Saccharomyces cerevisiae S288C: one gene and its partners. Changing the gene in region 1 together with any one later gene gives a genetic interaction. Each region holds a gene or a part of one and is shown on either strand. Other genes may lie near its edges. The genes, in order: CAF40, CSF1, STB5 and CTK1.

Region 1 (7,525 bases):
AAATTTCAGGGGTACAGACTACAGAAACATTGTCTAGGGCAATATCCGTCAGAGTATTCGTAATATTAAATTGTAAAACAACATTGTCTTTGAAGAGATGTTTGACACCACGTACAACGAATTCTGCTTCTGGCTCAGTTAATGAGATAGCCCTAGAACTATTTACTAATTGACCAAATGGTTTAATTTGTTCAATGGATAGCAATTCGTCAGCGTACTTAGTAGCTAGTAGATCTTCTTGGTGGTCGTCCAAGTTTGGACCAGCAAATGAATTAGCGTCAGCTCTTTTTTCTGGAACACTCTCTGCCTCTGGTGTAGTATCCAAAGTGGTTTCAGACTTTTGATTGAAAATTTGTTCTTGCTTTCTCTTCAGATTTATTGCCTTCATTTCATCCTCAGTAAACTTACGAACTTGATTCACATCAAATGCAGTTGCAAATGAATCAGTATTTGAGGAAATGTAAGAACTTAATTTTGACTCTAATGATGGAATATCGTAAAAATATTTGGATTCGATTAGATTTTGTGCTATAACATCATCTTTATTCCTAGCCGAATCAATGAATTCTAGTGCAATGGTGGCTCTGTCTCTGACTTCATCGTCTTTATCATTAGCGATTCTCTTTAACAAACTTATGATTGACTCATATAAGGTAGGATCGTTCTTCGTCAAAGCAAACTTAGATAAAGCTACAACGGCAGCAGATCTAATAATAGAATTTTCCAACACCACTCTGTTATAAATATGTCTAACATATAATGATGGATTTGGGGCAGATGGACCTTCTTTACCCAAAAGATGTAGTATTCTCACTAGTATTTCGTTGAATTCACAATCCTCGATGAAATCACACAAGTTTTCTAAGGCGAGTTCTTTAGACTGTGGAACAAATGAAACAATATCGATTAATGCTTCGACAATACTGTTTTTAAATTTGAATCCACCTTCACTATTTTTCAAAACATCGATTAAGAAGTTCAAAATTGACTTCCATTCCTGTGGGAAGTTCAAAGACAACGTACGAACGGCGTCAATAATAATGATCTTAAAGTCATCACTGACATCATGGATAAAATTAGTAATAGTCGAAATCAGAGATGAAATATTTTTGGAAGTTCCTGTCTTCAATAAAGTGGTGATTGCATAAGTAGAAATGTTTCTATTAGAATCATTAATTAAAGATTCTAGTTCAGGATTACAAACAACAATCTTTTCTGGTGAAACCATGGATATTCTATTTAAGATTCTCAATGCAGCGAATCTAGAAGAAACACGAGGAACGGTCAGTAAGGACTGTAAAGCACTGATAGCTGCCGCATATAACTCGGGAGCCACTAAGCGGGAATTGCGAGTAGCGAAAGAAGTAATCAATTTCGCCGTTTCCAACTGAACAGATTCGAACTTGTTGGATAGCCAATCAGACAAAAGTGGCCTGAATTGACTAAATAATTGAGGATCCCTATAAATCAAATCGTTGACAATCTTGACCAATTCTACCTTGGCCAATTGATTTTTCATAGAATTGTTTTCAGAGAAATGTCTAACCAATTTTAGTAACGCCATTTTATCAGTTTTCTTCAGTTGATAAAGCAACCCAAGAGCATGATATTGAGAAATATAAGTGGAGTTTGGATAATATTCGCTATTACCGTGTTGATTTGGAAATTGTTTCAAATCCAAAACAGCTTCTTGAGTTTCATTGGTGAATCTTCTGATAGTGACTTCTGAAATGGGCAGCAAATGATAAGAAGTACATAATGCTGCTGAGGATATTGAAGGATGTCTACTTACCACGGCACTTTTTAATAACCTTTCAGCGGAAAAAGCAGTAGATTCATCCAAGACATAAGTCAGCGATCTAATAGCGTCAGGCTTAATCAAATCGGAACCGTTTTGAACGTCCTTCATGATTGAAGAGGTTGCCATCAACACATCCTCCGAAATGCCACTCAATTCCTTGATTGCCAAATAAACAGCCTGCCTTAAAGGATCGTTCTGGTGTTGAAATAATTTGGAGATAGAGAAAAATAATGCAGTTGCTTCATTCTGTGGGAAGGTTTCGCCCTGGGCCAAGAGTCTCAGCAAGCGAGAAATCAATAAACGACATCTCTTGGAATTGACAGGTGATTCGTTAAACGTGTTCATACAATCCTGATAAATGGTCATTTTATCAGGTAAATCGCCCGAGGTCGAGTTTTCAAACTTTTTGTAAGTATGTGCAGACATGTTGATTCGCTCTGTGATTTAGTATCGCTTCTTGGCTTTTGTCCTATCCGTATTTGTTTAGTTATTTTGTATTATACGTCGTTCTGTAATGTTTGCGGGCTCACCTGGATGAAGCTAAGAACAAAAAAACGGGTTTAGCAGAATAACTGAAGAAGTACGTTGGTAATGAGCACACACAATTCCTCCCTTGCACTTATTTGTAAAGAATTGTGTTCTCAACAATGCAACTCGTATCCAAAAAAACGCCTATGTATATTTCATTGATCTTGACGAAACCTTTAGATTTCGAAAAAAATAGAATCGTGGTTCGTGGCGTCGTAGTGAATGACACAAGGGGTACATTCCGGGTGATAGGATGAAAAATGGGTAATAGTAATAGTACAGAAGAACCTTCTGGCACTTAACTTAAACCATTCTGAAATATGAGTGGACTTTATACATTTCATGCATATAAATATAACTATACAAAATTAGGAGAGGTGAGGAAGTGAAACTAAAACAAAAAGGCAAGGTTAAAACAATACAGGAAAATAGAAAGAGAAAAACAGTAATATATCTATGGGGATGCATCATGAGGTTTCTTCGTTTAATGTCAGTAGCAATTGTGCCAGACATCTCTTGGACCCGACGTCGTCTCTTAGTACTTCCGTAAAAGTGTTATCTCTCAGTTTGGCAGGTAAGACTATTTTCAATAGCCTGCGTGCTTCGAGATCGTCGCTTAATCTTAAGTAGCATCTAATGATATGTTTCAGTAGTCGTCCCGGTGGTGTGCTCACGGTCAAGTGCTCAACCATATCTTTTAAGACATTAGTTACGGCGTAGAACCTTTCCAAGGTGGCACAGATGTATTGCAATCCAACGTCATCTAGTAGGATTTTCTGTAAAATGAAAATGGCGACTGTCTTGGAAAGCTCAGAAGAAGATTCCATGATCCTTAGGCATAACGGCACGATATCGGTTCTTAGCAAAAACGTTATTACGTCTTGTGAGTCATTTTTGACCAATGCGCCTATCACACCTAATGAAGTCAATCTCAAGTACTCAAAAGTTCTTTGCCTGGAGGTAGTATTTAGGAAGGGGAAAAGAAAGAGAGGAATATGGGCCTGTAAAAAGAGATGTTTTGTCTCTGGGTGAGATGCAACACACTGTAGAAGAACTAGAGCGTTGCATACACGATTTGATAGATTGTTAGAGAGCATCTGAGGTTGCAGCATGGGATATACGGAAATGATTTCGTTCAGCAATGAGGTCATTACACCAAAGGAAGACCAAAGCACAACGGCAAGGTCATCAAACTGTTCTCTTTTGCGACCTAATTCAAGCAGTGCTTGTTCCTTTTGAGGGCCGTAGGTCAATTGACAAATCCAGTGGTATACATTGGGATCATCTAGAGCATGCACTGCGCCTCTATTATTGACCATGTTGGGATTGTTTCGAGTTGCGTTAGCATCGTTACCGCCGTTATTGCCGTTATTGCCGTTGTTCTCGCCATTTTCATTGCTATTATTATTATTCGGAGTATTGCCCATTAGCATGGGGCCTCCACTTGGAATTTGTTGATTCATGCCTGGACCCATTGAAGTTGGAACCCCAGGCATGGACATAGATCCTGGATTATTAGTTGAAGGACCACCACCACCCATGTTCACGCCTGCTCCATTGCCATATATTGGCTTTTGAGCGGAAAACATATTAACTTATTCAGAGGATGTTCAGTTGCTGTCGTTGTTGCTTCAGGAACAAAGTTTAATCTCGTCAAGATCAGCAGAAACACACACACTCGCAAATTTGTCAAAACTTGGGAGTTTTAAAAGATGAACGGTTTCTAACTTGCGTACTCTACGTCTTTGCAATCCCTTTACAATGTCTTCTATGCGTAAATTACTTTAAATTTGGATTTTGCCTCTTGCTGCTCGCAGCAAAATTCTCAGCATGTTGAGGTGTGTGGGTGGAGTTTTTCCTCTCCTGCTAGTAATACTTATGCAAGAATCTACGTCTAATGAGGTGCTCACGTTTTGCAATGATGATATAAATAGGGACAGTAATCTAATATAGACAAGTGGGCGTAATAGGGTTTTCTTCTCTCTCTTATGCATTCTGTAAGCATCTCGCTTTATGTGAGGAATAGTAGTAAAAGCGTATGATACAGGGAAATAGTAGTACTTTTACAATAGTATTGCTACTTGCATTCCCAAAAACATTCAATAAATGCACTTGGTTTCGAGCGTCTTTTGTTTATTTTTAAGTTTTGTTTGTTTTTTTTATTGTTTTGCTTCGTAGTTTCAATTTTAAACATTAATGTGTGCAAAAACTATAAGACAATGGTATACGCAAGAAAAACTATAAGTAGCATATTTAGTCTACTCCGAGCCATATCGGAAAGAACAATGTCGCGTCTTGCAAAGGCTGTTAATACATAGAATAGGCCACTCCAGGCATGTAAATACATGATTGATTGGATGAGCAACACTGAAATGGACCAGTGGCAACCTAACAGGATTTCTGATCTATTTCACGCCCAGAAAAAAGGCGTACATTCTATAATCTACTTAACAGACCTATACAAGCACTGTCCTACATATTTCAAAAGATTTAATTTACATATCGATTCCGTTCAACGTAAACAGTTTGCTCATAATACAGTCACAGATGTGAGAGAAAAAAAAAAAAGAAAATAAAGGAAAATGGATCAGAAATTTGGGTATACTTAATGCTTCATAGGACACCTGAGTACTTGTGGCATCCATGTTCAGACTGGTGCACAGCTTTTTTCTCGTCATTTACCATTTTTCCTTGAATTCATGTTTAATTTTCATCTTCGTCATGTGTTAAGGTACTATTACGAAACAAAATGTTAACGCCTTTGATAAACTTATCAAAGTTACGAGACCGGTTCGCACTACGATACTTTGCTATTGCTTCATTTTTTCTATCATATGTAAAACATAAACCACTGAGAGAAAACTTCTGCATTTAAATCAAATATGTCCGCCTTTTATACTTTAAGAAGAAAAAATTTATCTTTTTTCTTCCTCATATTGCAGGTATCACCCGAATGGAAGTTATAACGGCACAATCACTTAGGGCTTAACATACAATAACAAATACCATTTTTAATGTTGTGTTCAGTTGATTGTTATTATTATTAGGTATCCTTGATTATTTAAATTTATAATATATTATGTATCCGTTAATTATGCTCTATTAAAAATCTTTCTCCCACTAAGAGCCCCGTAAGGGCCATCTTGTTTACCACATTAAAACCCATGTTGACTCATGATCTGTTCCAGATCCCAACTTTGCCTGTTGACATTGTCGTTCCATTTCTCTACCGTCCTGACGTAATTCGTGTTAGCGACTGTGTTGTTCGCTATGTTGGTTACATCTTTTAGCCTTCTTAGATCATTACAACTGTCGACTAGAGTAGCAGAACTTAAATCGGATGCTATCGACACGTTTCTCTGTTTTTCGTAGAGTTTGAATCTGTTGTTTGATCTGATAGGACTCGTGCCAGCACAAGTCCTTCTGTTCATGGACATCATCATGTTAATTCTCTTCCTTTGGTCGCTGGATCTTGCCAAGTCTTGCTTGATGGGCTCTAATAGAGGCTGCAGATCTAGGATCAAATCTTCTGTGTTCACCCTGAGGTCCCAGTTCAACAGCTGTAACAACTGCCTTTCCATAAGGTTGATATCCTCTAGTGTAAAGAGACCATCGGTGTACCTAGCCCAGTGCTTGTTTAAAGGAGAAGAGTCATTGTGAAACTTAGCACTCAGTATCAAACAGGCCAAGAAAATGCGATGGATGGTCGAGGGGAGACCAGTAGCGTCCCTGGGCAGAATACGCTTTAATTTGTTCAAATAGCACGCAGCGGTGAGCAGAGTGGGTGTGTAGACGTTGGTGTATCTGACCAATCTAGTGATAAAAGTCATTAGCGATGGCAGCCTTGTGAGGTGTTTCTCTCCTGGAGAACCGGGAGGCGTGGGGTAGTTGCTTGAAGGAACAACCCTCAATGTTGTGTCTGTTAAGAATTTTATTATGTCATCCGTTACTGGCGACTTGAGCAGAATATGAAGAGCCTTGCTGTATTCACACATTTTATTACTTTACTGTTATTTGTATAATTGATTGTTTTTGTTATCGTTTTTGTTCTTGACAATGGATGATTGCTGATGTACGCAATAGTAATTCCAAGACACAAGAGTTAAGGACAAGCTTATCAATCCCATTACCATGTAGGCCTATTGACCTTATATATGTTTTCCTATCGCTATATGGAAGCTACCATTCCTTTTATTCTCCATAATAACGCCAAAATCTGCCCACAGCCTTGTAGCCTCATTTGGCTCCCGACATTTCGAGTCGCTTTTGCGTCGCATGCCTCCGCGAAAAATTTCGCGCCGGACGCGATTTTTAACACGAAATTCTTGTTCGTGCCGCTGTTGCCCTTTTGGGAAATATTTCCCGATCTGGCATTCGCAGAACACTAGAGCCAGAGTTCTGCCATTCTTTACGTCCAAGAGGTTAAAGTACAGATCACGTAACGGAATGCTACTTTCTGTAACAATTTGGCGATTCGCATTCTCAGTTGTTAGCTAGACGCCAATTGATTTACGGTTTCCGGTATGCAAATTGAAAATGCTTTCATCTATTTCTTTTATTTTTTTTATTTCGTTCTGGGCGTTGTGTTATGTTGTTATATTGCACAATGCAGTTGTTCTGTACATATTGTATCTATACATATTTGCGTCGATTATACGTTGGCTTTAACAGTTTCGTTCTCGAAGCTGGCCTTGATGGCGCCAATGACCGCGCTGCCCTGAATCTGGTCGTTGCCACCCTTGGATATCGAGTACTCTATATCGGCCAGTTTGGTAAGCAAATGCACTCTTGTTTCCTCATTTTGAAGTTCGTAGTCTTCCAGTATCTTCACTATGCCCTCGATTAGGTCGATCAACGCGAGACCCTTGGCACTGCGTACCTTATTAAGTGTGTAGTGGGCGGTACCCCAATCGTCCTCCAGTATCGACTTCAATACTGCCTTTAAGTCACTTGGTCTGGGTGCCCCACAGCATTCATAGATAACGTCGTCACTGATCTCATCCTCGTCGGGATTGTCTAAAGTAGCTTTGCAAGACTGCAAAACGTTTAACACACGTCTCATATCCCCATTAGAAAGTTCTATTAAGGCCTTCTCCGCATTAGGAGACAACTTCAGCTTCTCATGCACCAAGACGTTGGCTATCCGACGCTCAATGGCCTCTTGGGGCAAGGGCTGAAATCTGAATCTCGTGCACC
Region 2 (8,927 bases), on another chromosome or scaffold:
TGAACTCATTGCTCTAAAATGAAGATCTGCGCACTGGTTGTTTATCAGAATCGTAGGCTTGTGTGACCATGCCTCAGTAGTCGCTAAAACTGAAAAGTCGCGCAGTTGAGCTTCTCCCAAAATGACAGATGTGTGTTTTAACCACACTTCCGATTTCTGGGAAAATATAACCAATGAACCCGCTTGACTAGTTGAATCTTTTAGATTTTCCCATAGTAAACTAACTCTACCCCCAACTGTTCTACTCATCAGCTTCGTTTGGTCCATGACCAGTTGCAGTTCACTTTTATCCACTAATAAAACGGTGTTCATTTTGAATTGCTTTGATAACTCCTTTTTTGGATCACTTTTGTCATCTTCGCCCACTGCTGCAATGAGTGGAATAAGATCTTGCAATTTAAGTAACCTATCACTGAATTTTCCTTTTACTGAGCCTACTCTTCCCGTAATTTCAATAGTTTCTTCTCGATTTGAAGGTAAGCTTGTCACCGGAGGCGTCAAATCCACTACCAGATTGGCATCCGCAACAACAAAATTATGCTCAACCTCATATCCCTCACCATAAACAGTAAGGTAAAATGATCCCATGGTACACTTCAACAATTTTTTAATCAAATTTTGTTTATGTTTCTCATTTTCTGCCGTGAATAATTTGCCGTATATATACGACCTTGCAACATCTGAGAACTCCCAATTTCTCCAAGTCGAAAACACAGACATGAAGATATTTTTTGCATCTTTAGCAGAGGTATATTTCTTTTCTTTTAGCACTTCGTCGATGTTGCTTTGCCAATCATCAGGAAGGTACGTTAAAATGTGTCTCAGACGCGTAATAATTTTCCAACTACGATTCTCACGCACATGCCCTTTGGAAAGTCTCATAATAAAAGCAGGTTTTGTTATGACGTAAGGATCATGACTAATTTGATAATATTCGCTTGCGGCTGTGAGCTTTGAAATGAGTTCTGTCTTTGAATTACTTCTGGTGTTCTGAATAGAATTAAAAGAAGTGCAAACCTCTTGAATAAGATTTCCCTGGTCACTACAGTACTCAAACAGCCATTCCATTTGAGATTCGTCTATGGTAATATCTGATGACGTTAAGTTTAATGAGTTAACTTGTCTATCTTCTGTAGAAGACCATACTTCGAAACCCTCAATCCCTAGCGACAGTGCAGGGGGACGATCTTCAGACAAGTCTGGATTTTTCTTCTGGTTAACAGTCACTCTGACAGTTTTTACCTTTGCTAAAGCTGCTACTTCTAATAATTTATTTGTTCGGTTCTTCTCTAGAGACTTTTCACTCATTTGATAATCAATACGATCTAAATAGAGCTCAAAACCTTCCTCACCTGTCTCTTGCCAGATTAAATTTAGATAAGCAATATGGATATCAATGTTTGAAATAGAAGTGATCCCTTCTTGAAGGTTGCTTAATCGTTTCACAATCCCAATTTCAATATCGTCTAAGACTTGTACCATGTTTTCAGAGTAAAGCTGTTCTAATAAACTCTTAGCGAAAATAAAAAGCAACGGGTCGACATCCAACAGAATATATGAAACATCAACAACATAGTTATCCCTTTCGTGGTTTCTGTCTTCTGTAAAAGCGACAGGTTTGAAGCTTGAAGGGTCCGCTTCTTCGTCATTATCATCTTCACTGAAGCTGGCTCTTGAAGGCTCCATAGTTGATGGAGTTTCTGCGAATATGTTCTTGAATGGATTTGTGGTCTCCAGAAGGGTAGCATACTCGCCCACAATATCTTCAATGATATAATCTATAGTATCAGGCAAAGTGGGAAGAGGTAAAGTTGGGATAGACGAAGATGGTGCTATAGCCCCGTACAGGTTTTGGTATGTATCCGAATCCTGATAGAACAGCGGAAGAAGAAAAGGACACCTATGATAGGGTGAATCGTGTATTGTTATATATCTGCGTTGTTCTGATCTTTTTTTATCGATATCCTTGTATTGCTCAAAGTTTGTAAATCTTAATTTTGTTTCGAATTTGAGAAATGATGTGTCTACGCCATCGCCCATCACGCAATTTAACGAAATTGTCAATTTTGGAATTTTCACGTCTATTCTTTGTGAATATTTTTCGTTTTCAAAGTCGATCAAAGTAAACAATATCGATTCAGCACTAATAACTGATTGAGATTTCATCACCGGATCTTTAAGGCCTATTCTTATTTTTTCAACGTGCACGGTTAGCGAGGTCATATCATTAATGGTCTCAGTGTCATATAATAATATATTTTCCAAGTCATTGTAGCCAAAACCTATCTTATAAAAGGAATTAAAGAATCCCTTTATAAATTCAATATCTGAATCAATGCATAAATCTCCGAGATTGATATCCCATTGACAAAAGTAGGTAGGTTCTGTGGGTGGTAATCCATACATTCTATGTCCATGAATGGTGAGGTCCGAAAGCAATCCGTGCTCTTGCTCATCAGCTCCGTTATTACGACGTATAAAATCAAATACTTCATTTATTTGTTTTGAAACGTGCCGCTTTATTGAAGTCCCGTTGAGAACCGCCATTATGTCCATATAATAATTACAACTTCTGAAATCCACTACAAGTTCGGCAAAATGTAGTGCAATGCATGGATCAAAACTGTAAATCGTTTCTGGTAATATCAGAGCACCATCCCAAACCGAAAATGTGAACCAAATATCAGTTTCGTTGGTAGTCCTTTTCAAATCTGACCTTTTCATAGGACCTTTATCCTCAGATTCGTTCTTTAGACTGCTATTTTGGTACCCTGAATCTACAGTAGATGCCAAATCTGCCACCGAGCTTTTCGTAGTGACATCTCCGACTTCCCTAGCGCCAAGGACACCTGTGTACTCTTCTGACGTCACAAAATTAAAAAATTCACCGAAGTAATTCATCTTTACGTTTGTTAAATACCTCATGACAAACCCATAGCAGTGAAGTACTGTACTCTTGCTGTTACACTCTATGACTAGCGTATCGACATTATCAATATCTAACTCGGAATAGAGAAGGTAAGAACCTTTAATTGTAAAGTCGTATGCTCTCCCCACTTCTTTATGTTTCATGAATTCGTTCAATGTATTCCAAGGGGGGGTATTTAACATCATTCTGAACATTGGAGTTGAGATCTCGTAGGACATATCTGTGTATGTCCCCAAAATACTCTCACGGGGTACCGTGACATCAATTGAAAGCTTATCACCATGAAGGGATAAATAACAGTTTTCGTTAAAATCTAACGGATTGTTAACAATATTGTGATCATTGACGTTTAAGTAAATGGAATATCCTTCCATTTCCCAATTGACTTTGTATACGAATGGTCTAAAAAGTTCGTAAGGCGTAGGATCACCAGCGGAAAAGTCTGAAAGCGTATCTGCAACTAAAGTTATATGCTCACGTAGCAGAAACGCCTCTAATTGTTCTGACTTCATGTTAATTATCCATATAGCTTTGCTATTCCAACCCAATGGATATCCAATATCCCCATCAATATCGAATACCTTGCTTTTTAACAAAATATCGTGATTAACACTTGACCTAATTTCGGTTTCCAGGAAATGAACATGGAAATTATTCTGAAAACCTTGCACTGTAGGACAAACACTTATATTGAAATTTGCATAGGTGTCCTTACAAAATCGGAGATCCATCCATCCAAATGGCCTATATTCTTCATTAGTTTCTTTGTAGTGTTTCAAAAATTCGGGGTCTTTGCTACTTTCCCTCGTCGGTATACGCCAAGTAGTATCTTCCATTATTGATATATTCATCCTGAAAAGTGTATATATTCTTCTAGAACCTGGCGGGAGTTTTTTTATAGGTTTGGCTGTCCTTGAAACTACCGGTGATAGAACTCTTTGTAGATGACTGACTTGTCTTTGAGCCCAAGGTCCGTAACAGATGGATCCTCCGTGAATTTGAACATCTAAAGCAAAATCTGGAGGTGCTCCGTTATTGCCCACATCTGGTCCATCAATATCAGGTATTGTCGGATGTGCACCATGTGGCACAACGCCCGGAACATCCACGTCATATGCAATTGTGACCTTTGGGCATTTTAAAATTGATGTAAATTTAGCATATTCATGGTTCGTCAAATCGAACTCAACATCATCTAAATCACTTGCTTTAGCGTCGCCCGCAGAAGCCTTATAAAGAGATAAACCTTTCCATTTATGATAGAAATTGTCATCTGATGTGCCTGCGCTTTTTTTAGTCTTTTTCGGTACAACAGGCTTGGTTACTATCTGAAAGACTCGTACAAACGTTTTCCATAACTTTGACACTTTCCCTCTATCTATTTTAAACTTCAATCCAATAGCATCATCGTAACCAATATTTTGTTTGATAGAAATTTCGAAGTTTTTGAATTCCATCTGTGTTTTATTTCTGTATAAATCTAATCGCTCTTTTGGAGGTAAAACATCTATTATGCCTTTTCCACTTTCATAACTTAGAATCATAACAGATGGCGTGAATTTGTTTCCTAACAGTAGGGAACCGCGGCTAAATTTAAGCTCAATTGGTAAAAACATCAGTAGCTTTGGATGTTTGCCGATATCTGTTTCTTGGTAGTCCCTGTCATTAACAATTGATGCATCAGAGTTCGTTGTGTATGCAGATTCGCTTAGATCTTCATCTAATTTATCAGCACTACTTCCATCGCTAAAAGGTTCAGGAAAAGAATGCTCATTAAGGTATTTTTCAAATTTATCGCGTTCATCTTTTGATAGTAAGTTTATAACATTATCGTACGCCACTGTTCTGTTGTAAATAAAAATTTCTAGACCTTCACATTCTACGGAAATTTTACAGGGAAGCTTTGCTTTTTTGCCAGAAGAAGACTTGTTATTCTCTATCAATTCTGCTTTTCTGCAATTTAAAAGCCAGTATTTCCATGTTAAACTACCCTCTAATACCGAAATTGTATAATCTTTGTGTATTACGGAAAGGTTTTTAAAATGTATTCGACCACCTAGTAAGGAGACACGAAGTGTCTCAACATTTATCTTGATTTTCGCTCGTTTCCATAGTAGCCATTCTAATATAAAACTTACAAGGTATGCATAGATTCTTCCCATGTAGAATATCATTGTCAAACATACTACTACCGTGAGAATCCAATCTACTAAAAAGACCCAGCTAAAGTCCTTTTGGTGTGTCAATGGAACACCACGTAATTGTGAAATAGCTTCCATGCTTGCTAACTTATTACCGTCAATAGAAGACTTGAGTCAGGTGGCTTTAATGAGTACTATTCTTTTTTTTTTTCCAAAGAGCACTATGTTGATAATACCGCAGTAATTTTTTTTGAGTATCCTGTAGCCTAGAAAGGTTGAAGCTTATAAAACCGTGCCAACAGCTTTATAGTGGGGAGTTTGGCTTCCCTCTATTTGTATATTGATCGCCATCCCTACGAAGTTATTGGGAACGCATCGTGAACCTCTCACTTTAATGCCAGCGGTAGAAAAAAAAGTCATAAACAATACACGCCGGCTACACTTAGAAAGAAATGACATTTGCTGTCTTATAAAAGGACTTGACAGACCAAAGACGCGTATAATACACCAAGAATGGCCTTATTGGAGAAGTTGCATCGAAGGATTGTTGATATGGGGCTTGTCCCGCGTATAATCGCCTTATTACCAGTTATTTCCATGCTATGCGCTCTATTTGGGTTTATTTCTATAGCTATTCTGCCTATGGATGGACAGTACAGAAGAACATACATTTCTGAGAATGCATTGATGCCTTCACAAGCGTATAGTTACTTTAGAGAATCTGAATGGAACATTTTGAGGGGCTATCGATCTCAAATTAAAGAAATGGTAAACATGACTTCTATGGAAAGAAACAATTTGATGGGTTCTTGGTTACAAGAATTTGGTACTAAGACTGCTATTTACGAAAATGAACAATATGGAGAAACATTGTACGGTGTAATGCACGCTCCTAGGGGTGATGGAACAGAAGCGATGGTGCTTGCCGTTCCATGGTTTAATTCAGATGATGAATTCAATATTGGCGGCGCAGCTTTGGGTGTATCTTTAGCAAGATTTTTCTCACGTTGGCCAGTATGGTCCAAGAATATAATTGTTGTCTTCAGCGAAAATCCTCGTGCAGCATTAAGATCATGGGTTGAGGCATACCATACTTCCTTAGATTTGACTGGTGGTTCCATTGAAGCTGCTGTTGTGTTGGATTATTCGAGTACGGAAGATTTCTTCGAGTATGTAGAAATCTCATACGACGGTCTGAATGGTGAGCTGCCCAATTTGGATCTTGTCAACATCGCTATATCCATTACGGAACATGAAGGTATGAAAGTTTCTTTGCACGGTCTACCCAGTGATCAGTTAACTAATAATAATTTCTGGTCAAGATTAAAAATATTATGCCTGGGAATAAGGGATTGGGCGTTGTCCGGTGTTAAAAAGCCCCATGGTAACGAGGCATTTAGCGGCTGGAGGATTCAATCTGTAACATTGAAAGCACATGGAAACAGTGGTCATGATATTACTACATTTGGACGTATACCCGAAGCAATGTTTCGCTCTATTAATAACCTTTTGGAAAAATTTCACCAATCGTTCTTCTTTTATTTGTTATTAGCACCACGTCAGTTCGTATCCATTAGTAGTTATTTGCCAAGCGCTGTGGCTTTATCTATAGCATTCGCCATAAGTTCATTAAATGCATTTATAAACAATGCTTATGCAAATATATCCTTATTTTCCGAGTATAATTTGGTAGCGTTGTTGGTTTGGTTCGTGTCATTGGTGATATCATTTGTTGTTTCACAAGCGTTTCTTCTAATACCTTCATCGGGATTATTGATGACAATTAGCATGGCATCTTGTTTTTTACCTTTGATACTTTCCAGAAAAATTCACATCTCAGAACCACTATCATACAGGTTGAAAAATGTTGCTTTTTTATATTTCAGTTTGGTTTCAACATCTTTGCTAATGATAAACTTTGCAATGGCTTTACTGATCGGCACATTGGCATTTCCTATGACATTTGTGAAGACCATTGTTGAAAGTTCTAGCGAACATGAGGTGACAACTCAATCCTCTAACCCAATAAAAACTGAGCCGAAAGATGAGATAGAGCTCGTCGAGAATCACATGGATACAACGCCAGCAACCCCCCAACAACAGAAACAAAAACTAAAAAATTTAGTACTATTAATTTTGACAAATCCATTTATTTCAATAACCTTATTCGGACTATTTTTTGATGATGAATTTCATGGATTTGATATAATAAACAAACTGGTTTCAGCATGGTTGGATTTGAAATGTTGGAGTTGGTTTGTACTTTGTATAGGTTGGCTTCCATGTTGGCTATTGATATTAGCGTCATCGTTTGAATCTAAATCTGTCGTAGTAAGGTCGAAAGAAAAGCAAAGTTAGGTGCCATTGGTAAGAAGTAAAGGATTAACGGGTGTTCGAACTACGCAATTGATTTTATACGCACAAACATTACAAATCGAAGCAAAAGAAGATGAAATGATATGATATACTGATACAAATATGTATTAAATAAAACATAAGTATTGATGGAAACATGGCATAGAGAAGCGAAGATGCGATAATATCAAATAACTATATGTGAGTTGTGGAAGAAAGAAACGATCACATTATTATAATAAACTAGCTATTTAAATGTTTATTGAAGACTGTTCTGCCCCCTTTTATTCAGTCACGGTATTGGTCAAAAAATTCTTTATGGAAACTTTCCCATTTCTTAATCCATTCCAGACCAGGTGCCAAAAATGTTGTTCTTAAATGGTAAGTACCAGGTTCTTGACCAAACCCAGAACCGGGAACAGTGCAAATGCCAGTAGATTCTAACAACTTCTTACAATAAAATTCATCCGGAGTTAACTCTAAGTGGCGAGCTTCTTGAACTGCCTTGAAAGGTAAGTCTATCTTAGGGAATAAATACATGGCACCTTGAGGCTTTTGACATTCAATGCCTTCTAAAGAGTTAAATGTCTCATACAGTGTCATTGCTCTTGTAATTAACTTTTCATGGATGGAGTTACGTTCTGCTTGGTCCGACTCGAATGATTCCTCCCCTTCCACTGGTGGACGAACCATCAAATCAACCAAAGCTTGACCTGTGACAACGGGACACAATGAAATCGAGGCTAGTTTCAAGATAACTTGTCTCATCTCATGGCTGAATCCAGTGAGTTCCATGTAGCCACCCCTTTGACCACATTCACCAGAAACACCCTTAGAAGTCGAATGCAAAGAAGCTAGCTGAACATTATCGAATTTACCTGGATGTTCCCTCTGTAAATGTCTCAAAATTTTCTTCATAGAATGGAACTTGGTGCCCGGGAAGATATTTTCTTGATAAACTTCGTCAGCTATCACTACTGTACCGTACTTGGCTGCGACTTCAAAAATCTGAGCTATAGACTCAGGTGATAGGACAGCTCCTGTAGGATTACCTGGATTGATAACCACTAGAACTGTAGGTTTGATTTCGTTCTGTATAGCCTCTTTGACGACAGTTTCAATTTCTTCTGGATTAGTTGACCAACCTGAATTCTCATCTAAATAGTATGGTAAAGCTTGAGAATTGTTCAAAGCTAGAGTAGCGGTATATAATGGATATTGAGGAATTGGAATCAAGACACCCGTTTCTGGCCCTCTACAGAAAATTGATAACAAGTAATTGACAGCTGCGGATGCACCAGCAGTTAGGAAAATATCCTCTGGGTATGATATCTCGCCTTCGTCCCTCTTCGTTATAAATTCAGCGACACTTTTCCTTATACCTTCTACACCTTGAGAAGAAGAGTAAGCACCAACAGAACCACCGATATCTTCCATTAAACTCTTTGCACGTTTAATGGCATCTAGTTTAAACAATTTCGAATCAACTAGCTGCTGTTCGT
Region 3 (8,992 bases), on another chromosome or scaffold:
GAAACTAGAGATATGCTTTTCCTTTTATATTTTAGAAAGTCACCAGGAGGAACAAGGCAGGTTACCTCGAGAGAAAGCACGTTCCAGGAATCTGCTACCTCATCAAGTACCCAAAAAGAAACGCGGTGCTCGAACAATACGGAAAAAGAAAGGTGTCCAAACAATGGCAATGATTTTCCAACCCAAAAAGGAAGTTCTTACCGATTCTACTCCGTTTTGCTTTACTAAGCACACGAGACGGAAAAAGCATGCCGCTTCCGTTCCGTGCAATATATTCATTCATTTGTAATGAGCATCCAATGGTTGGTAAGAACACTTAGTAGAGTCTGAAGATTGAACAAGAGATGCTAAGAGATCTTGAATTACGGAAGTTCATTACGGAAGTTCATTACGTAAGATATTTCCATGCATCCGTCGCAAGTTCCGCCTCTTGGAGACATTTTGTCATCGCTAGCGTAGGAAGTTGAAAACGCGTATTGTGCTAAGCCGCTAAATTGTAGTGATTTTGATGATAGTGTTCCGGCGAAGACCTGCCAGCTCTTATTTCTTACTCACTTGCGTTTGGCGTCTTGTAGCATTATCTATCTTATAGAGTTACTTACTTTCAGAAGCATCTTGCAACAAACGACATAATTGCAAAGATATATATATATAATCAATTAATTGTTCTCATAAATCGCTTTAAGAGTTCATGGCAATCAACTTTTTCATTTGTCATTAGGGTTGTGTTATAAAGTACTCATTTTTCATTAAAATACATATGTGAATAATCAATAGAAGAATCTTGTCGTGAAAAAAACTGTTTCATTAAACGGCAGCAACAAGCCGCTGCCGTATAGTATGACGACATGACAAAACTCGGTGAACATATGTCATACAAGTTTATCAACCCAAGAGACGTCAACATTGTTTTCGTCTAATATGTCTTGATATGAATCGCTGGCGCCAAATAACTCTCTTGTTAATTGGTCCATATTAGGAACTTTACCATGGCTTAAACTAATATCGAGAATTGTGTTGCTAATGTTTTGGAAAACATCCGCGCATCTCATAGCAAAAATCCATCTTTCACCGAAATGTCTTAGTATTTCCACACACTGTTGAATTTCGATTTTACTTTCAATGAGGTCGATGCTCCACTGGCAAAGACAGTATAAGATAGTGTTACAAATGGTTAATGTTCTGAAAAGGGTTATCCAGTTCAAGGGTAATAACCGCTTCTTGTACAGTGTATAAGTATGTTTCCAGGCTTGCAAGCAAAACTCTCCTAGAGTGGATAGTGAGTCAATGGGCGGTTTTGGCATCAATGCAGATGGTCTGTATAGTAAGATTTGCAACTGGGAGTATCTCATTGCTAGCCAAATCTCAGAACTATGGAAGGATATTACATTTGTAGTAGAATTGTTCTCCCTCTCCACCTGATCCATTTGAGATTTTTTCAGTTTCCTTCTTTCTGATTCTCGAGAATAAATTTCGTCTAGCTCCTTGCGTAATCCACTTATGATTTCCTGCTTTTGTTCGATGGTTAACTTTTGTCGCCCTGCACTTACAGAGTGGACTTGTTTATAAATGCGACCGCCCATTTTCCTTAATGATATCATCAACTTGGTCATCTCTAAATCGTCTCTTTCATCCACATACAACGCCCTCGGTAGTGGCACAGTGATGTCTTCGTCGTCGATCCCGGATATACGGCCCAACGAGGTGCATACTAGCCTTTCAAAGCAGTAAGCACTCCAAAACACTCTATATCTTGCCTCTGCTTCTAAAGCAGACATGCTCTTGAGTTTTTTGGCAGTTAACTCTCTATTTAAACCTAATCCTATGGTCAATCGCATGATGATACCACTAATTGTCCATGACGAGGAGCCCTTTGGCTCAAAAAACGAATAAATACCCAACAACAATAGGCATCGTACAGTTTCGATATCTTGTAAAATTATAACACTACGAAATTTTTTCATGGCCAAAAAAGCCAAATGTTCACTCAGACACTCTTCGTCCTGAGAAACCATACCAGCACGCTGTAAAGTTGTACAACCAATAGCCATGATCATGTATACTTTGAAAACAAAGCTGTCAGGGTAGTTTTTGTTGTCATATAACCTTTCGAAATCAGTAATTGTCGCGGCGTCATTTAGGAATGCTATTTTATCAATCATGGGAAATAGACGGTGATTGTGTTTGAAGTATGCGGCAATGAACCTGTCCAGTAAGGATCTATCAATTGACTTGAACGAGCCATCCTCTCTGACCCACGATGTTGTTCTACCACCTTTAAAGCAACAGGACATAGTTTCAAATTCGATCGAGGATGCATCAACCGGCACAGAATCGAATTTCCCATTGGGGGCTGAATTGTTTGCATATGGGGTAAGACTCAATTGCGGTGTGTTGGTACTGCCATTGTTATTATCGTGGTTAACATTACTGCCGTTATCCCCGTTGCTAGTATTGCGATTGTTGTTTTGTAGCGGTACGGCTTGGGCGTTCGCAGGCACATGACTGCTAATTAGTGGTGAAGGCGTGTTATATCCTCCGAATGATGAAGTTGTCGAACTTTGCTGCACGGAAGCTGGCAATGATCGGGAAGGAATCATGGAATTTTCATTAGAGGATAAGTGCGAAGAAGGATTAGAATTATCATTCAGCGATGTTAGCACCGAAATTAGCGATGAGACACCTTCGCTAGAATTTGGACTTGCCCCCATGACAAGATTTATTGGATCTGACGGTTTTAGCTGTTTCATCTTATGTGCATCATCGTTTTCGTAAGGCGAAAACCCGGGAGTTATAGCGCCATTTGCGGATAGCGGACTAGAAGAGTTTGGCATGCTCTTAGTGCTCAATGGGCTTTTTCCTACCTTCTTGTTCCTTTTCACTGGAACATATTCCCCTCGTAGCATAGCATCCGCTAACTCCTTCTTGGTACGTCTTGGGGCTCTACCTGGATATGAACAGTGTGCCCCATTTTTATCGCAGTTTGCACATGTCGGTATTTGTTTACCACACTTCTTCTTTAATTTTCTGCATCGTGCGCACGAATACAATTCAGTAGTACGTTGTGATCTCCCGCCTTGATGTGCAAAATTGGGACCATCCATGTCCTTCTTTTACACCTTTGTATTAATTTTTTAGCCCTGTACGCTCGGATATTATACCTCTTGTTACGTAGAGGAAATAACCGAACCTTGCCAAGAACTTCATTGTCGGTGTTTTATTTCGGAAGCTTATTTTTCTTTTAGTATTTCCGCTCGCCCTATTTTTCCCGTGGTATCGGCCTTGTCGTTATATTCCCTGCGGGTGATGGCGCCATGAATTAAATGCGACGCTATATAATAAGCTAGTAAAACAAGATATATTATGTGAAATTAAGTAGACAATCTGTCGGAGAATCTTCTTGGCATATATAGTATAATCGAGTGTAGTTTTCTTCCCGTTTTCCGTTGAGATTGAAGCCTTTTTTTTGTTTCAATTCCTGATGTTCATCAAAATAGAAGGTTGCAAGGAACGCATTAAATAATTCGTGAAATTTACAACTTTTGCATCAACAATGGAGTAAGCCACTCTTCATTCTTGAGTGTATTACCAGCATTAGTAGTGTTCTAAATGATTCAACAGTGCTAAGCGCTTCTTGTTTTTTTTTTGCACTTTTGCTTTTATTCGGGTTGAAATCGTCGTACACATTACCACAAGTACCATTGTTTCAATGATGAATCCGTTTATATATGCGTAGCGAGTAGATATAGAATCTGTTAACATAACTTCATGCCTTCTTGTCTTAGAACATTCCTATACGCGAGAACCGCGCCGCGAAGAAGAAGCCACAGAAACATAAACGTATCCTCAAGAAGTCTTCGAGCTTTAAGTCGTTTCTCTTAGTCTCGCTTTCACAGTGTTACTGCTATCATTTCTTCACTCCTGGAGGCAAACGGATATTCTATAGAAGAAATTGGATGAGGACAAAATGTGTTGTTGCAACTTTAACTACGTGAGAAAGGTGAAAGTAAGGTATTAGAAGAGAGGACACAAGAGTTATAATATCAGTAACTTTCGAAGTGGGTATCTCACATGGTTTTGATTGGGGTTCTCGATTGTTTTGCCCCCCTGGTTTATTCATTTTTCATAACAATGCCAAGAACCGTTTTTAGGTTTGATTTCTCAGTTCCCTTGCGTTTCTTTCTCTGGAAATTTCATGATAGAATTACAAATTTGGATATGCTTGTTAGTATATGATACAATGATGGAGGTGAAAATCAGATGGTCCTATAAATAGTTTTTCGAAATCCATCGATGGTAGGGAACAACAAGAACAAGCACCCTCCTGTTTTTTTAAAACCCTTTCTGAAAAACACACAATTGGCTGCCCTTTCTATGTAGTGAAGAATCCTTTTGGAATATGAGCGGTACTTTAGGTGAACCTTTCAGCAATTGAAAGGATGCTGATCTTCTACTTTGAGTATTGGTGGGATTTAGGATTGCTTGATGTGTTGTTTTTACTAAATGTTGGTGGATGTTGCATGCTGTCTGGCGCATGAATCATTTGGTATTGTGTTTGAGCCGGGGGATTCATACGAGGAGCTGGCAAAATATAAATGCCATCTAGGTTCTTGTTGGTTGTGGAGGTGGTTATGTTTACATTTGGAGGATTAATAGAATCTGTGACTGGTTTTGGTTGTCGGTAATCATGCACAAGTATATGGTGTACTGGGGGCATCATTGTTGGGGCGATAGGCGCCTTAGAGTGATTGCATTCAGGACCCGACCTCGAAGAGTATGGATCGATATTTTGGTATGGTATTGGGCTCAATGTATTGGAGGAGTATATCACTGAAGGCGACACGCCACGCCGTTCATAAGGTGCTGCAGTAGGTTGTTGCGGGAGAGTATTGTATGTATTGCAGAAAATCATAGGTTGTGAGACCGTACGTCTCAATCCAGGCTGATAGTTAGGATTGTAAACACCAATTGGTTGTGGCTGGTGCTGCATATACGGGAGAGGTAATTTATTCTGTTCATCTATGGGTAAGAGATATTGTTGCTGTTGTCGGTGCTGCTGTTGGTGCATTTCTCGAGGAGCGTTATTGAAGGTGGTTAAAGGTAACTGAACTGCGGTCCTAACTGGAATATTTCCAGGATGGTTGTTATAATTGCTCAAGAGATCACAATAGCTCGGAGAAGATGATAAAGACCTGCGCGTTTTATAATTATGAGCTTTGGTTCTGCCTCTCTCATTATTTTTAGACGGGTTAGATCTGCCATTTCCTACAGCAACTTTTTGTAAAGCATCTAATAGTTTCTGTGAAGGTCGAAATTTATGGAAGAAAGGATTTTCTGAAGGTCTCCTCAAACTTCCTTGATGAATATCCTTTTCCGTATAGTACGCAATAAGATGAAATGTTTCCAGCTTAGTGCTGTCGGTGGGATCCATATTGAATTTTAGAGAAAATGTTTTTTTCAGTAGTCCAGTATAAAAATACTTCCTATGAGCCCTCTCGAAGATATTATACTCAGGTACATTATGCAGCGGTAGATCGTGCGTGGAACCCAGCCTATTATACTCTCTATATACGAGAAATTTGCCTGAAATTCTTGAAGGAGACCAAGAAAAACCATCTGTCCATCTTTTGATGCCGGATTTCTCTTCGTTGAAAACAAAAATGTTTCCGGGGTTGACTAATTCAACCTTTTCTGCATCATATGGCCTCCGTTCGATGCATCTCAAATTTCCATTGAATACGCCCTGGAAAACAAGGGCTAGATCTTGCTCGTCGTCGATGTACCCATAACAGGTAGGGCTGATATCCATCATTCTTACGCTTACTCGTCGATCTCCTTTTCCTATCTATTGTTTGATTAATTATCTTAATTCGTGGTTCCCTTTTTTCTCGCTTTATTTGTTTGTTTTGTTGAAGAAGGGCTTACAAGAATGTACGTATTAAATAATAATTCATACAAATAAACAGGGAATGATACATAGTAGTTCTCCCGCAGCAGCTACGTATGAATTACCCGCCTACCCGGTACTATAAAGAAAGAATAAGTGGGCGTCGATTATGAAGATTTACTAACTGCAATTATCATTTTTTTGATTTTCCTCAGTCCCTTAGGTGCGTTTTTGTGTTAATGCCTATTTTTTTTTTCTAGGCTTTCTTCTTCACTTCCTCTTTCCTCTTGAATTTTGAGGAATATACGACCGAGAAAAAGACAGACTACTTAAAAAGTTGCCAGAGTGATTAAAGTTCCGGGAACAAGGCTAAAATACGTTTACAACATATTCTTCCTTTTTTTTCCACATAAAAAGGTTAATAGTCATAGTCATATGTTAGCGTGATTTCAACTTAAAATTAGAGATTATTAGATAATTTTTTTTTAAATGACGGCCAAGAAAGTGAAAGTCTAAAAGGAACGTTTATCGCTTAATTTCTCTCTGCCTCAGATTCATACGTTGTTAAGATCTTTAAAAGGATGGCCTTTGCAGGATACTGAGGTTTATGCTGGCGCGCCTGTGCGGATTTTCCAGATTCAAAAAGAAAGTTTTCTTTTTTTTTTACATGGGAACTGCGTAGCCGCGAAGCACTGCAGGCCTTTCAGAGCAATTTTTGGCGCTGCCTTTTAAAAACTTACATTAAGGTTCGCTATTGCCGAAACGGAAGAGGCGGAAATTTAAGTATTCGTTAATTTTACGGTGGCGGTACGGTATATTCTGCGTAAGCAATCTGCGGACGGCCGGATTATTAATCAATGTTTGAAAAAAAAAGATAGCAGAAGTGAAGATTTCTTATTTTAACAGCGATAAGGTATATACATGAGGGAAACGAAATATTAAGCGGCACAATATGTGTTTTTTCTATACAAGTACATTCCTTTTTACGTTAAGTATGTGGCGCCGGAAGGAAGTATGGTGCTTTTTTTTTCTTTAGGGCTTGTGCGTGTTCCGCTAGAAGCACATTTCTTTCTTCTTTGTCTGTATAACTACTGTTTCTTAGATCGATCAGTCTATCATCCCATACAACTGGTTCGAAATGACCGACCCTACGTGGAATGCTATTCAGTAGTTCCTGTAGTTCTGCATAGTATTCCAGGTCCTTTCCCTTTGGGAAGTTGTGCGTTCCGCAGGCATTAGAGTCGAAAGTTGTAGTTATCGGTAAGCTTTTACAGAATACTTCGACCATAATAGCCGCCTGTAGTTCCGACAACGGGAACGGGATGACCAACTGCGGGGTCAAGATAAAGGACAGCGTAGGATCTTTTACATAGATCATGTGCTCCCACAAATTGTGCAGATTGACAGACGAGTGCTTGTCGCCAGTAACACCCTCACCTAGCACTTCCAGTCTAACGGAGGGCTCTATAAATGGAAAGCTGTAATAATAGCCTGTGGCGAAAATAATGTAGTCTATATTCTGAAGTACTCTTCCATCAGATAAAGTAACTGAACGATTTTTCCAATCGGCACTGTCTATTGTTTGGACAGTCTCGATTAACTTGGCCTTCAGTTGATTGCTCGCAGGCTCTTTTATACTATTATATACTTTCTTTGCAACGGTAGTTAGTTGGTTGGCAATATCTTGGCCGGAACTGCCGTTTCCCACCACAATAACGACTTTTTCACGGGCAAACTCGCAGTTTTTGAAATCCTTAGAATGAAAGGCGCCCTTATTGTCGAACCATAGATCGAGACCTGCGATATTAGTTGGTAGTTTAGGGACACTGTAGTGACCAGACGCAACAATAACGAAGTCAAAATCCGATTTAGTAGTCCTTAGTTCGTCTTTAGATGTTATCTCCCATTGAGAGTTCTTCTTCTTTAAGTAGGTAACTTCGGTGCTGAAATGGATGCTGATAGCATCTTTGTTGGCAATGAACGTTTTGTAATAGGCTTTCAAGTATTCCCAAATGTTTCTTCGAGACGGATATAAAGGGACGTTTTCCTCGAAGGGAAAGCCGCTAAACTGCATTAACTTCTTTGATATATTGGTTTCCAAATGGTCATACATGACCCTCCCATCACTTTTTTGTTCTGGATAATGCCAGACACCGCCAATATCGTAATCCTTTACAAATATTTCTATTTCAAAATTTGGAAGACTTTGCGAGAAAACTCTTGCAGCTGCCAACCCTCCTGGCCCCCCACCTATGATTGCCAATCTTTTTTTGTCATTCACTGTCATGCCTAGTTACTTCTTGTTATTTCTCGCTTCCTGCTTGAATTTTCTGTATTATTGTATTTTCGACTTGTATAAAAACAGTGGCCCATTTAAATACAGTCCCAAATAACGACTGCGTTTTTGCAGTGGCATTTATCCTTGATATGAGGCTACAGGATTATCTTGCATAATGGCTTTTCTCGGCAAAAAGATGTCTGGCGCTTCCTATGTAAAGGTAATATCATGTGATTAAGAGTGAAAAGAGGAATTTAAAAGGTAGAAAAGGGTTCATGGAATCTTTCATAAAGCAGAACATTAATACTTGCCGCGTTGAAATGAGGTGCGATTTCGTGTTGTGGACGGGACATTAAATTCATCACTTATATAATTAAATATAACGTTATAGTAGATCGTCTCAAAACGGTATAACAACCCGCGCCCACCCTTAAATAGTATTACTTTTGTTCAAGATTAGCTCGAATGGTCGCTGGCAAACTGTTGAAGAACTAGATCGTTTCATGATTAACATCTTGGCGACGCAGAAGTTAATGATATAGAAATAGTGGACTATTTTGATTACTGAGGCTGTAGCCAATAAACGATAACATAAAGGGGGGGATATATAAACTTGTGTCAAAGACTAGTAACGTACGAGTGCTAAATATTATACATGTAATGTTAACGTAGTTTATCATTATACTCAGTGGGAACAAATAAAGGGAAGGGTATGAATGAGGAAGAAATACGAAAAATCCCGGATAAAAACAAAATAGATACAAATAGTATCAAATTTGTAATATTTGTCACCATCTTAATGGCAGGCGAGGGAGCTGTCATCTATC
Region 4 (4,015 bases), on another chromosome or scaffold:
CGAAGAGGACACAAAGAATTTCAGGCAAGAGAATGAACGCTAACAAACAAAGGCAGTATAATCAGCTTGCACACGAACTTAGAGAGCTTCAAACGAATTTACAGGAAACGACAAAACAACTAGATATCATGTCGAAACAATGTAACGAAAACTTGGTAGGCCAATTGGGTAAGGTACATGGAAGTTGGTTGATAGGTAGTTACATTTATTATATGGAGCAGATGCTTGGAAAAACGCAATAAGGCATAAGAGGTAAGACAGTTAGTGGCCAGGCTAATTTATAAGATGTGAAATGAGATGGTGTTGGTACGATGGACAAACAGCTTGCATAAAAAGACAACCAAGTTACGTATAGTGAACGAGTGAAAATAGGCAAACCTTCTATTCACTAGGCCGCTTCACATGAAATTAGATGTTCGTATCATATTTACGGGTATCGCGTAATAAATAAGTTATTAATCTATTTTTTGTGTCTACTTATTTCAATTGGCTATATATCCTTATTTATCATCATCGTCATTATTATTATTATTATTATTATTACTATTACCATTACCCTTATTGTTTGTGTTGGTGGATAGTATGTTAGGACGCTTTTGTTTTCTTGCCAATTTGACTTCATATTCGTGGCAACTTACCAATCCATCAAGAACTAAAGGTTCAGGCTTTGGTTCTTCCTTGAAATAGTCGCTTTGTAAAGCTTCGGTTGCACTAAACCTTTTCGTCTGATCATAACATAACAAATTAATCGCCAATTGCAGACATTTTGAAGATGGTAAAACGCTTTTAAATTTCTCAGAAAAATTGTTGACATACTTGGTAGTTTGCTGTGGCATAATCATAAAAAACCACGGCATATCGTAAAGCGTTGGCCAGCTATTTATTGTAGGAGTTCCCATAATCTTGAAAATTGATTCTATTTGCTCTAATTCATTAGAGCCCTGGAAAATTGCAGTTTTATTGAATAATTCCACCAGGAGGCAGCCACAACCCCACATGTCAACTTCTGTTCCATAATTTGTAGTTCCCAACAATAGTTCTGGTGGTCTGTACCACAACGTAATGACACGGTTAGTGTAATCAGCTCGCGAATTCATTTTCCTCGCTAGTCCAAAATCTGTTATTTTTAGATTCCCCTGGTTATCGATTAAGATGTTTGAGCCTTTAACATCACGGTGTAAAATCTTATTATCATGTAAATATTCCATTCCTAATAGCAATTGTTTGAAGAGATGTTTGCATTGTGAGTGAGAAATTTGGACTTCCTTATTTAATAGTAATCCACTTAAGTCGTTGTCAGCATATTCAAATATCATATATACAGTTTTTTGAGATTCGACCATTATTTCTTTTATAGTAGAGACATTTGGATGATCAAAACTTTGTAGTAGTTTAATCTCTCGTATAGAGGTTATGGGAAAGCCTTCCCTCTCTCCTTGTAATCTCAATTTTTTCAGCGCTACTAACTTCTCTGTATTCGTGTTTTTTGCCTTGTAAACTTTACCATATGTTCCTTCTCCGACTTGCATTATCCTTAGGTAAACTGACGTGCTCCTTTGCTGCGTTAGAACCGAAACTGGAACTTTCTTAGCTATGACAGACCGCCCTTCCTGGCCTTTGTGGTTATAGTATTTTGAAGCATGATAGCCATTTTTTATATCATTACTAGTATTGGATGAATTATTATATCTTGATTTCTCAACAGATTTGGGCCCCTTTGGCAAATGAGACAGGAATTCAGCCTTTGTTTCATCCCTTTTTATGCTTTTAGGCCTATTTTCATACGACGTATTATTATTGTTGTATCTTGAACCTTGATATCTGGAACTTGTTTGAAAGGATGTATCGTTATAGCGAGATAAATTATTGTTACCACGACTTTTCGTGTGGCCTGGTTGGTCATTTGAATTTACCCTATGAGAAGATATATTGTCCATATTCGACTGGTAACCACTATCAGTCCGTATTCTCTTTGGTGGCGGTGGTCTCGCTAGGGACTGAGGATTTGGCGACCTCTTTCCGAACAAGGGTCTCTTATTATTTCTGCTATAACTCTTTGAATAAGTATTGCCATTATTGTAGGACATTGTTACCAAATAATTTATGCTGTATGGTCCCTGTGTTATTCTAGTGCAAAGAATAGTGCTAGAATTAGTTTTATTTACAAATAGGTTTTTTAAAAGTACTAATGGAACAAAAAAAGTCCAAAAAAAGCTAATATGCACAGTGAATAAATACACTGATAAGACCTTCTCTTTTTTTCTAAATGTATTTTACTGTCTGAACCGTCCATTTTTTAACATCTCATTGGCAATCAATATGTAAAGTTACCTTATTATGTAGAGGTTTTTCTCTTCCATCAGTGAAAAAAAAAAACGAAAAAAATAGAGCTTCACGTGACCTTTTTAAGCCAAATAAGAATAATGCTAAAAGGAAGTTAATTACTTTACTAATTTCCAGTATCCACAAGCATGAGGATATTAAGGACTTCTTATGAAATCCATTTATTGTGTATAAAACGTACGTATATTCTTTCTTTAGTTCATCGATTTTTAGATTAGCGCTAATATTATTATCCTAGACAAAAAATAGTTTAATAGGGTTTCTCTCGCATTCTTTTCATTCTTTATTTAGAGCATCCAGCGCAGTTGTCGAAGAGTTGGCATCTAGTTGTCGTAAATCTTTGGATGATTCCAGATAGGCACTTAACCGTCTTTGCTGCTCCTTATGGATTTGATCTTCTGTATCATCCTGGTGCTCATTTTCGTTGTCCTCGTCTATGGCACTAGTAGAAAACACTCGTCTTAAGAACCTTGAATTGTCAGCATTGTGGACCTCATCCGCTTCATCAGCTTGTACAGACAACGGAGAACGGTCTGCCGAGTGAGTTCTATAACTGAGACCATGCGTTGGATGAGTTGTCTTCCATGTCGTGCTTGGTAATTCCTCAACCAGACTTGCTGATGGTAGTAACTGGTTAGTCTTCACTGAAACATTACCAGGGTTAAAAAATTCAATAAACCTCAAGACTTTAGCAATGACCAAGGTATCGGCATCTTTGCCCCAAATCAAATCCAGGTGTTCATAATTGTCAACTTTAACATCAAAGACGGAGTTGAAGGGTAGATTTTTTTTCATCACATCAATATCAACTAAAGAATCTATGCCACCATAAATTAAAAGAATGGGAATCTTGATATTTGTTCTAGTAGGAAAATTAGCAATTTGGTAAGGCCTAGTTAAGGAATTTAGCATGTTATCAGACTCTTCAAACATTTGAAATTTCTGAGATCTTAATATTTGGAACCAGTGAACAATGGATTTTACACTGGTCGTTGAATAAAGTTTTGCGTAAGAAGCAATCTTTTGTCTCGGTAGAATGTTAAACGACTTCCAATTGAACAGTATCTTGTTTGCGATATCGATACACAAATTGAAAAGTGTTGGATGTAAAGTTCTTTGCCAAATGACAGCTGAAGGTAACACAATTTTCCTACCAAAGAAAAGATACATAAAGCCGGGCGATGATTTGGCCAAGGTATCGACAATTCTGTTGTGCAACCCCTTTGGAGTCATAGCGGGTGCTATGGCTATAAAATGGGAGACTTTTCGATTCAATTTTTCACTCAACGAAAATGCAGCAAACATTTGAGCAGAGCCTTGAGAGAATCCGATGCAGATGACCTTGTCCACTTTTGTTATATCTAAGATGAATTCAATTGAGTTTGGAATGTCAAAGAACGCAAATTCGTCGATAGAAAAATCCCAAAACTTGTTCGATTTTGGTGGTTTGTTCAAGTGGGCAGTTGAATATTTATTACCTCTATTATTTCCCATCCAGACGTCGTAACCTAAATCATGCAATACAAACGGTAAGTTTTTATGTCTTTCAATATTGCAACACCAAACATCAGAACACATCAAAAGACCGTGATGTAAGTATACCACTTTATTGTTAAATCTGTTTTTAGAAATCGGTGGGATTCTATGCAGTGTCAAGATATAATTGTCTTCA

The links.
Region 2: mutations in CAF40 (region 1) and CSF1 together harm fitness less than expected from each alone (positive genetic interaction), as found in Saccharomyces cerevisiae (3 studies listed by BioGRID).
Region 3: mutations in CAF40 (region 1) and STB5 together harm fitness more than expected from each alone (negative genetic interaction), as found in Saccharomyces cerevisiae (2 studies listed by BioGRID).
Region 4: mutations in CAF40 (region 1) and CTK1 together harm fitness more than expected from each alone (negative genetic interaction), as found in Saccharomyces cerevisiae (3 studies listed by BioGRID, with this or other methods).

What each region holds. Positions count from the first base shown.
Region 1 is NC_001146.8:86,696-94,220, reverse strand, and holds CAF40 (CCR4-NOT core subunit CAF40), read right to left. Parts: upstream 3,919-7,525; coding exon 2,797-3,918; downstream 1-2,796. Other genes in the region: SEC21 (coatomer subunit gamma), read right to left, coding at 1-2,227; PCL1 (Pcl1p), read right to left, coding at 5,485-6,324; RFC3 (replication factor C subunit 3), read right to left, coding at 6,981-7,525. UniProt on the Saccharomyces cerevisiae protein: Acts as a component of the CCR4-NOT core complex, which in the nucleus seems to be a general transcription factor, and in the cytoplasm the major mRNA deadenylase involved in mRNA turnover.
Region 2 is NC_001144.5:310,524-319,450, forward strand, and holds the start of CSF1 (Csf1p), read right to left. Parts: upstream 5,209-8,927; coding exon 1-5,208. Other genes in the region: GPI-anchor transamidase subunit GAA1, read left to right, coding at 5,584-7,428; alanine transaminase ALT1, read right to left, coding at 7,714-8,927. UniProt on the Saccharomyces cerevisiae protein: Tube-forming lipid transport protein which provides phosphatidylethanolamine for glycosylphosphatidylinositol (GPI) anchor synthesis in the endoplasmic reticulum. Required for the glucose and other nutrients uptake at low temperature.
Region 3 is NC_001140.6:453,411-462,402, reverse strand, and holds STB5 (Stb5p), read right to left. Parts: upstream 3,105-8,992; coding exon 873-3,104; downstream 1-872. Other genes in the region: ROF1 (Rof1p), read right to left, coding at 4,451-5,812; FMO1 (N,N-dimethylaniline monooxygenase), read right to left, coding at 6,876-8,174; YHR175W-A (uncharacterized protein), read right to left, coding at 8,696-8,845; CTR2 (low-affinity Cu transporter), read right to left, coding at 8,962-8,992. UniProt on the Saccharomyces cerevisiae protein: Binds to SIN3.
Region 4 is NC_001143.9:181,030-185,044, reverse strand, and holds CTK1 (cyclin-dependent serine/threonine protein kinase CTK1), read right to left. Parts: upstream 2,088-4,015; coding exon 501-2,087; downstream 1-500. Other genes in the region: HSK3 (Hsk3p), read left to right, coding at 33-242; TGL1 (sterol esterase), read right to left, coding at 2,620-4,015. UniProt on the Saccharomyces cerevisiae protein: Catalytic subunit of the CTDK-I complex, which hyperphosphorylates the C-terminal heptapeptide repeat domain (CTD) of the largest RNA polymerase II subunit.